Linked DNA regions of Notamacropus eugenii. The main gene of each other region encodes a partner of the protein of the gene in region 2 in a complex. Links are inferred from orthologs where the notes say so. Each region holds a gene or a part of one and is shown on either strand. Other genes may lie near its edges.

Evidence for each region. Proteins that work in one complex are often made in the same cells at the same time.
Region 1: TMEM231 (region 2) and TMEM17 share a complex: the UniProt entries of both Homo sapiens proteins name them as parts of the tectonic-like complex. The link is inferred for Notamacropus eugenii from reciprocal best matches to the Homo sapiens genes TMEM231 and TMEM17.

What each region holds. Positions count from the first base shown.
Region 1 is NC_092872.1:642,117,841-642,121,587, forward strand, and holds the start of TMEM17 (transmembrane protein 17), read left to right. Parts: upstream 1-945; 5' UTR 946-1,046; coding exon 1,047-1,146; intron 1,147-3,626; coding exon 3,627-3,730; intron 3,731-3,747. UniProt on the Homo sapiens protein: Transmembrane component of the tectonic-like complex, a complex localized at the transition zone of primary cilia and acting as a barrier that prevents diffusion of transmembrane proteins between the cilia and plasma membranes.
Region 2 is NC_092872.1:712,651,473-712,655,219, forward strand, and holds the start of TMEM231 (transmembrane protein 231), read left to right. Parts: upstream 1-1,471; 5' UTR 1,472-1,637; coding exon 1,638-1,776; intron 1,777-2,329; coding exon 2,330-2,499; intron 2,500-3,747. UniProt on the Homo sapiens protein: Transmembrane component of the tectonic-like complex, a complex localized at the transition zone of primary cilia and acting as a barrier that prevents diffusion of transmembrane proteins between the cilia and plasma membranes.

The DNA of each region.
Region 1 (3,747 bases), about 71 Mb from region 2:
CAAGTCAAATGTTACAAGCGTTCTTGGTTTCCTTTGTAATCGTACGTATTTTATTTTAAGCATTTTTTAAAAGGGGTTTCAGCAGAGTACTAAAGCGTTCATTACACCGAAACGTTTTAGAGTAGCGTTACAATTCACCCTATCTAGGCTGATACAGTATCATGATAGGCAATATTTCCAATACATAGAAAAATCTGACAGCGGCCTCCAAAGAGTGACAATAAAATTTTGGCCACGAGTAAGTCCTGTTCCACCTCAGCACGCGGAGCAAGCCTAACCCTTGCTGTTCCCACCGGAACACCGACAGCCTTGGGAGGACAGCCGGCCTGGGTTCTGATCCGGCGGGCTCCCTGAGCCTTCGGGGGGCGCACGCGGAAGCGGGCCCCCTCCTCGGGCCCGCAGGGGCAGCGGGTGTCAGCGCTGGGACGCGGCCGGGCTGTCCGCATGACCGCCACCCCCAGGGCCCGGAGCGGGCCGGGCGCACGTACGAGCCGGACTGCAGCCCTCCCGCCTCCCTCCCCAATGCCAGGACTCGGGTTCTAGCGCTGGGTTCACGCCGGTGTTACAGAGCCCCGCCCAGGGTGCCAGGCCTCTCCTGGAGGATCCCCGGGCTCTGGCTCGGCCCTGGGGGTATTTTCCAAGGCCTGACATCCGGGTCTTTCCGAGGCTGTGACGGGGTGCGGGGCCCCCGCCGGACTGAACAGGGGATATTTAGTGAGGGAGAGAAACTGGCTTCGGCCCGGGCCTCTTAGGGCCTGCATGTGGGGCAGGGGATCACGTCTCCGGACCTCAGTTTCCCTATCTGTAAAACAAAGACGTAGGTCTAGGCCGCCTCTCAGGTACAGCTAACGCTGGGCACACAGACCTCCTCCATTGGGCCTCCGCGGGAGGGTGGTCCCCAAGCGCGCAGGCGCCCGGGCCCAGCCTGTGGCCCCGCCCCGCCAGGGTTGCCATAGGAACCGCCGCCTGTTGGGGTGGGGGAAGGGAGGCCGGGCTCCAAGGGGAGCTGAGGCTTCGGTGGGTTTCGGGACCCGTGGAGAGAAGCCATGGAGCTGCCCTTTCCGGTCCGGCAGCGGCTGATGAACTTTAGCCGAACCGTGTTTACCGACACAAACCGAACCAATCCAGAATCCAGCCTCAACTTCTGTGAGTGGCAAGGGCCTTAGGAGAAGGGGCTGAGGGCGTGCGCGGGCAGAAGGGGGCGGGAAATGACGTTGGGGTCGTGCCCACACTGAACATGGCGGCTCGGTCTTCAGCGGGCTCTGACGGGGCGGGGGAGGAGGGGGTCCTTCCCTCCAGAACCCTTCCCCGATCTCCGATGACGGGGTTTGGGACTGACTGAGGCCCCCTTACTGGGACAGGAGTGAATCGATCTGGCAAGTCATCGATTAATTAATGGTGCCCGATGGCAGCTGTAACGCCTCTGGGCCTGAAGGGGGGAGGGCGAAGAGGGCTAAGTTCAAGTTCAAGTTCAAGCTGAGCGCCCGGCGCGCTCTGCTGTCTCGCTACCTCTTTTCTGAGACTAGAAATGACCAACTAGTTGCGTGAACACAAATCCCCAGAGGAAGCTCCCTAAATAATAAATATTTAATAAATATTAAATCATAGGTATGAGCCCCAAAAAAGAGAAAAGAAAGGAAAAAAATCGAACATCTCAAAAAGCTGTGCTTTTCTGAAAAAAAAAATGTGTTTCTGGTGGCTCTCCTTATTTTCACGCAAATCTTGGGGTGCCTGGTGTGGGGGAGGGGAGGAGCGCAGAGGTCAAGTTCCCAAGGGGGCCTCGAGCCCGGAGGTCCGGAGTCTTGAGGTCTCCTCTGGCCTCAGCTTCCTTCTTGGCAAAGGTGCTGCAGGGCTCTGCCATTTCCTTCTCCAGGTCATTTGACAGTGGGGAAACTGAGGCACACAGAGTTCAGTGCCTTGCCCAAGGTCACTGTTGCTGAGGCAGAATTCGAACTCATGACTCTCTCTGGGTGCCTGGCACCTCCCTTCCAACCCTGAAACTGGTGTTTTCAGCATCATCTCAGCTCTATTTAAGACCTTAGGATGCTTTATTTTAACTAGAAAGCAACACTTTGTACCGTTTTCTGCTTTCTGTTCCTGAAGAAATCAATATTTGATTTTTTTAACTCTATACTCAATTTTTATCATTAGAGATTTTTAGCCCCATGTATATCCATCCTAGCAACTACCATGCAGGTCCTAGAAAGGATTAGACAGGCTGGTTGATTTATCTCTCAATAGGTTTAACATCTTAAGGCAATTAATGTCATTAATATATGAATTTTTTTCAAGGACTGAAGTTTGAAAAATATTTTTATTGTTAAGAATAGAAATGTAGTTGCTTATTTTAATATGTTGTTGACAATTATTTAAAAAGTTCCCCTGTGGAAATCCACTGTGGTGTAGAGGACATGGAGCCAGACTTAGAATCAGGAAGACCTGGGTCCAAGTCCTACCTTTGACAAATACTTGCTTTGTGACCTGAGGAAAGTCACCATCCTAAACCAGGGGTGGGGAACCTGCAGCCTTGAGGCCACGTGTGGCTCTCTAGGTCCTCAAGTGTGACCCTTTGACTGAATCTACACGTCATAGAAGAAATCCACTTAATAAAAGAATTTGTTCTGTAAAAAACTTGGACTCCGTCAAAGGCCACACCGAAGGCCACACCTGGAAGACCACGAGTGGCCTTGAGACTTCAGGTTCCCCAACCTTGTCCTAAACTCTCAGTGCCCCAGGAAACTCTGTAAACATTACCCTGAAGTTCAGGTGCTGACCTAGCATTGGAAGAGGAAATTTCCTCACAGGGGGTTCCTTATACCACTAGAATGATGAATAAAATCTTCTGTCCTGCAAACCCCACCCTCAAATCCATAGAGATATAGTAGAGGGGTAATATTTTATTTAAAAATTTTTAAACCTTTGGAATGTTAAACAACTAAAGAATATGGATTATTTCAAAATATATACTTTTTGCATATGAAATTTGGCCTCATTATTTTGGAACTTGGCTAACTTTGTACTTGAATTCATAGGATCTGTGTTGCCTCCTTTAGGACTTTCTGTTTACACAAATGAAAAACATACTGCATCATAATCTCTAGTGACTAGTAATTTCTTGGCAGAGCAAACTTATGATTGGTATGGTCCTTACAACACTATGGCAGTCATGGCAATTGTGTTATGGAGATATTGAATCCAATGATGTGTACATTTCTCCTCCCCAAAAGCTGCAATAAAATTAATCATAATTATCTGTTATACTTTGAGGCCACATATTGCCTGCATGAACAGGGAAAGACCCAACAGACAGTAATTACAAAGTGATGATATACTATACTATTATTCGCTTCCTAATCACCAAAAATAGCCAGTCTCTAGAATTGAACCCAGTGTTTTTTATATAGCTGACGCTTAATATATATTTATTTAATTAATATTAAGGCCACTATTCCTTCTTCTGGTAGTGGTTCTAAATTAGCACAAAATTTGAATTAAAAAATATCATAGCTCCAGTTCTTCTAATAATGTGGATTTTGAGGAGCAGAAAGGACATCTCTGAAATAGTATGGTTAAGGGTTGGGTTTTTTGTTTGTTTTTTGCTCCTTTTTCCTTCCTTTCTCCTGCAGATAATGAAATAGTCTCCAGTTTGGCATTACAGATGTCTCTTTATTTCAACATTTACTTCTTTCCATTTTGGTGGGTGTGTAGTATCATCATGCTCCATCTGAAGGTGAGTATAAAATCTGA
Region 2 (3,747 bases):
ATCAAGTTTGCCAAAATTATCTTCAATAATAATGTTTATATAGTGCCTTAAGGTCTGAAAAGTACTTTATTAATATATCTCATTTTTTTCCTGTGCTATCATGATCCCTATTTTACAGATAATGAAAAGAAGACAAACATGTTAAGTGACTTGTCCAAGGTTACATAGCTATTAAATAAGTGTTTTAGGCAAGTCTATCCTAACTCTAGGCTCAGGGCTCTATCACTTGCACCACCTATCTACTTAGGTGGTTCAGAAGACAGTAAACAGGATGCTTATCTTTTTTGACTCTATGACATATGAGGGCTATTGAAAGTACTGGACACATTTAGCCTGGAGATGTAGAAGACTGGGGGTGGGAATGGGGGAATATGATAGCTGTCTTCAAATACTTAAAGGATTTTTATCTGGAGCGGAGATTACACTAGTTTGGTTTGGTCCTAGAGATCAAAACCAAGAGCAATATGTGGAATTTGTAAATAACTAAATTTAGGTTTGCTATCAGGAAAAATGCCCTTTCTTAAGTCTTTTTACATTTCTTTGGCAACAGTATGTCATTTGAGTCATTCATATGCTATCTGTTGCCCTTGTCACATGCTACTTCTTTTCCAATTATGTATATATTCAGTGAATCCCCTTACATCACTTTTAATACACCAATCATCTTTGAAAATATTTGTGCCTTTCTTTTATTGACCTTTCGGTCACAGGCAAGATTTTAGTCTTTAGGGACTGTGAAAATTCAATATTTGCAAACATAAAACGGTCAATCTGTTCTGGAGTAAATTCGTTGTAAAAAAGATCTCGAATAATTCTCTTTTGTACTGCGAATTCATACTGAAAACAATCTTGAGGAGTTGATATCCAAACAGACAATTTTATTTCTAGGCGTCAAACTTTGTGCTGTTACAAATGGTATTGCTACAAACATTTTGCTGAAACCACGTTTTCATGATGTTTTCCCCCTAATTCTGTGAGCTCCAGAGGATGCCTTTCGCCTTATTTTTTTCCATCTCCAGTGCTTAGCACAACCAGTGCTGGCACATACTAGGCGCTTAATAAATGTTTATTGATTGACTCTTCAGAGAGTTGTGCACCCAGTGCTTTAAAGATAGCTAGTGGCACATACGTATGAAGTGTTCCATTTGATTTCGGTCCCTAAATACTTCCTAAGACCAAGTAGGAAATGCACGGGAATTTCATTTCCTTTGGACTGGCTACAGATATTGCCTTGGGCGATCTGACAAAAATATACCTACAATGCTGTTTATCCGAAAAGATAAAAGATTATTCTGTTTACACGCAAGGTTTCAGAAATGTTCTTAGCGCTCTTGGCATAGATCACCGCAGGGAGCAGGGATACAAGGTATCTTTGGCACAAGTAGACCACAGTAACATTTTCTCGCCGGCGCGGAGCCCGTCCCCCTCACGTCGTTACATGATTGGCTGAGAACGACTCTACCCCAGCCGCGGCCTTGCTATTGGCTCACGCACCGAGGTAGGACGGTTACCGTGGAGACCTAGGCTATGGCCACTGAGAGAAGCCAAATCTGGTAAGCGTTGGTGAGTCGTGCAGCCCAGGCCTCCGCCCCGGGCTCCCTAAGCCCAGGCCTGCAGCGAGGAGCGCGGCCTTCGCCATGGCCCTCTACGATCTGTACTCTCACCCTCTGGAGATCATCTACCGCGCAGGGCTGTGCTCCAAGGCCGCCTTGTTTCTGCTGCTGGCCTCCAGCCTCACCTACATCCCCCCGCTGCTCGTGGCCTTCCGGAGTCACGGTGAGCCCGGCCCAGCCCGAAGGGGCCCTGCCCCTTCCCCCCCCCCAGGCCTTCCAGACGCCCCCATGTCGTGCGCCCCCAGCCCCTAGACCCAGGCCGTCCAGACGCCCCCATGTCGTTCCCCGCCCCCCCAGCCCCTAGACCCAGGCCTTCCAGATGGCCCCCCTCACATTGTGTCCCTTAAACTCCCCAGATCCAAGTCATCCAGACACCCCCCTTCAGTGTGCCTCCCAAACCCCACCCAGACCCCGGCCATCCAGAAGCCCCCACCCCAGACCGAGGCAGACGTCTGCCAACACATTGTGGCCCTCCCAACCTCACCTACACTGCCCTCTGTACTTTGCCATCAAGGCAATATTATGGTGTCCCCAGAACCTGGCGTACACCCCTTGGCCTCATTCTCCTAGTGTGTCACATCTCCCCTCATCTTGTGTGTGCTCTCATCTCCCTTTCAGCTTCTTTGGCCCCTAGATCGACTTGTTGGTGTTCAACACGGCCTGGGCACAGAGCTTCATTCTCCATGCCTTGCTTCTGACTTGTATATTCTGTCTAGGTTTTTGGTTGAAGCGCAGCAGTTATGAGGAGCAGCCGACTGTTCGGTACCAACATGAGGTGCTGTTTGTGGCTTTGTTAAGCTCTAATTCTGGAGAGTATCTAGCCTGGAGCACATTCCCCAATTTTAACCAGTTTCAAGGGGATAATCTTCGGCTGCCAGTGGTATGGGTAGGTGGCTCCTATACTCCTAAAGCAGAATTTGCTATTGACAGTTTGTTTTGACATATTGATCATTTCCCAATAAATAACCTCCCATAATACTTCCCTGTAAAAAAACATCAAATAAGCTAAACCATCTTAATATCATGATTGTCATAGACAAAAAAAAAATTGTGATTTTTCCACTCTTGTAGTTTATCATTTCTTAACAGAAAGGAAGAGTATTTCAGCTCTGCCCTCCCCACAGAAGTCCATGGATTTGACCTGAATTCTTTTGCTTTTTAGGGTGGACTTCATTCAATCAGTATATTCAGGTCTATATTGTTCCTTTGGTCTTGCTTTTTTCTCTGTACATGAGATTACACAAGTCTTTCCACCTGTCTTTGAGTTCTTCATATTTATCCTTTGTGATAGTGAGATGGGATTTTATTACAATCATAACAGCAGTTAAAAAGGTCCACAGAAGTCATCCATTTCAATCATCTTATTTCACAGATGAGGAAAGTGGCTTCCAGAAAGGTTCATTATTTACTGACAGTCACACAGTGAAAAAGTGGCATCGCCAGGATCCAAACTCGGGTCTTCTGATTCCAAATTTTGCATTCTCCCCACCGTACCATGCGCTTCTTCTTCCATTCATACGCTGTTCTGTTGAGGCATTTCTAGTCATTGGGGGTGTAGCTTGTTTCTAATTTCTTTCTGTTACAAATTCTTGCTGTAACAACTATGACTATTTTGGTGCAAATGGGGAACGTTATTTCTGTCGTTGACCTCTGTGGATATAAGCCCAGTGGTGGAATTTCTAGCTCAGAGGGTATGAATGGTTTAGTAAATTTTGTCGCATATTCCCAAATTATATTCTAGAATGGTTGGATCAGTTCGTAGCTCCACTATAGCTCTACCAACATTTGCTTTTTCCATCTTTTACCATATTTTTCCCAATTTGATGAGTGGGAAGTGATACATACCTTAGAGTTATTTTAATTTATAGTTTGCAATTGCAAATAAGACAAAAAAAAGAAACTAAAATTATTAACATTAAAAACAAAGAGTTCAAGATATTATTTGCTATTTAGGCTATTTAGAAAATCCAAATGTTCCTACCAAAAATTAATAGTGACAATAAATGAGTTGAGGAAGGTCTTAGAAAACAAGATGAGTTCACTAAAATCATTTGCAGTCTTATTTGCTAGCAATAGAGATCAAAGAACCCCATCTACCATAATAATAAATGGCACCAAATATTTGAAAATCATT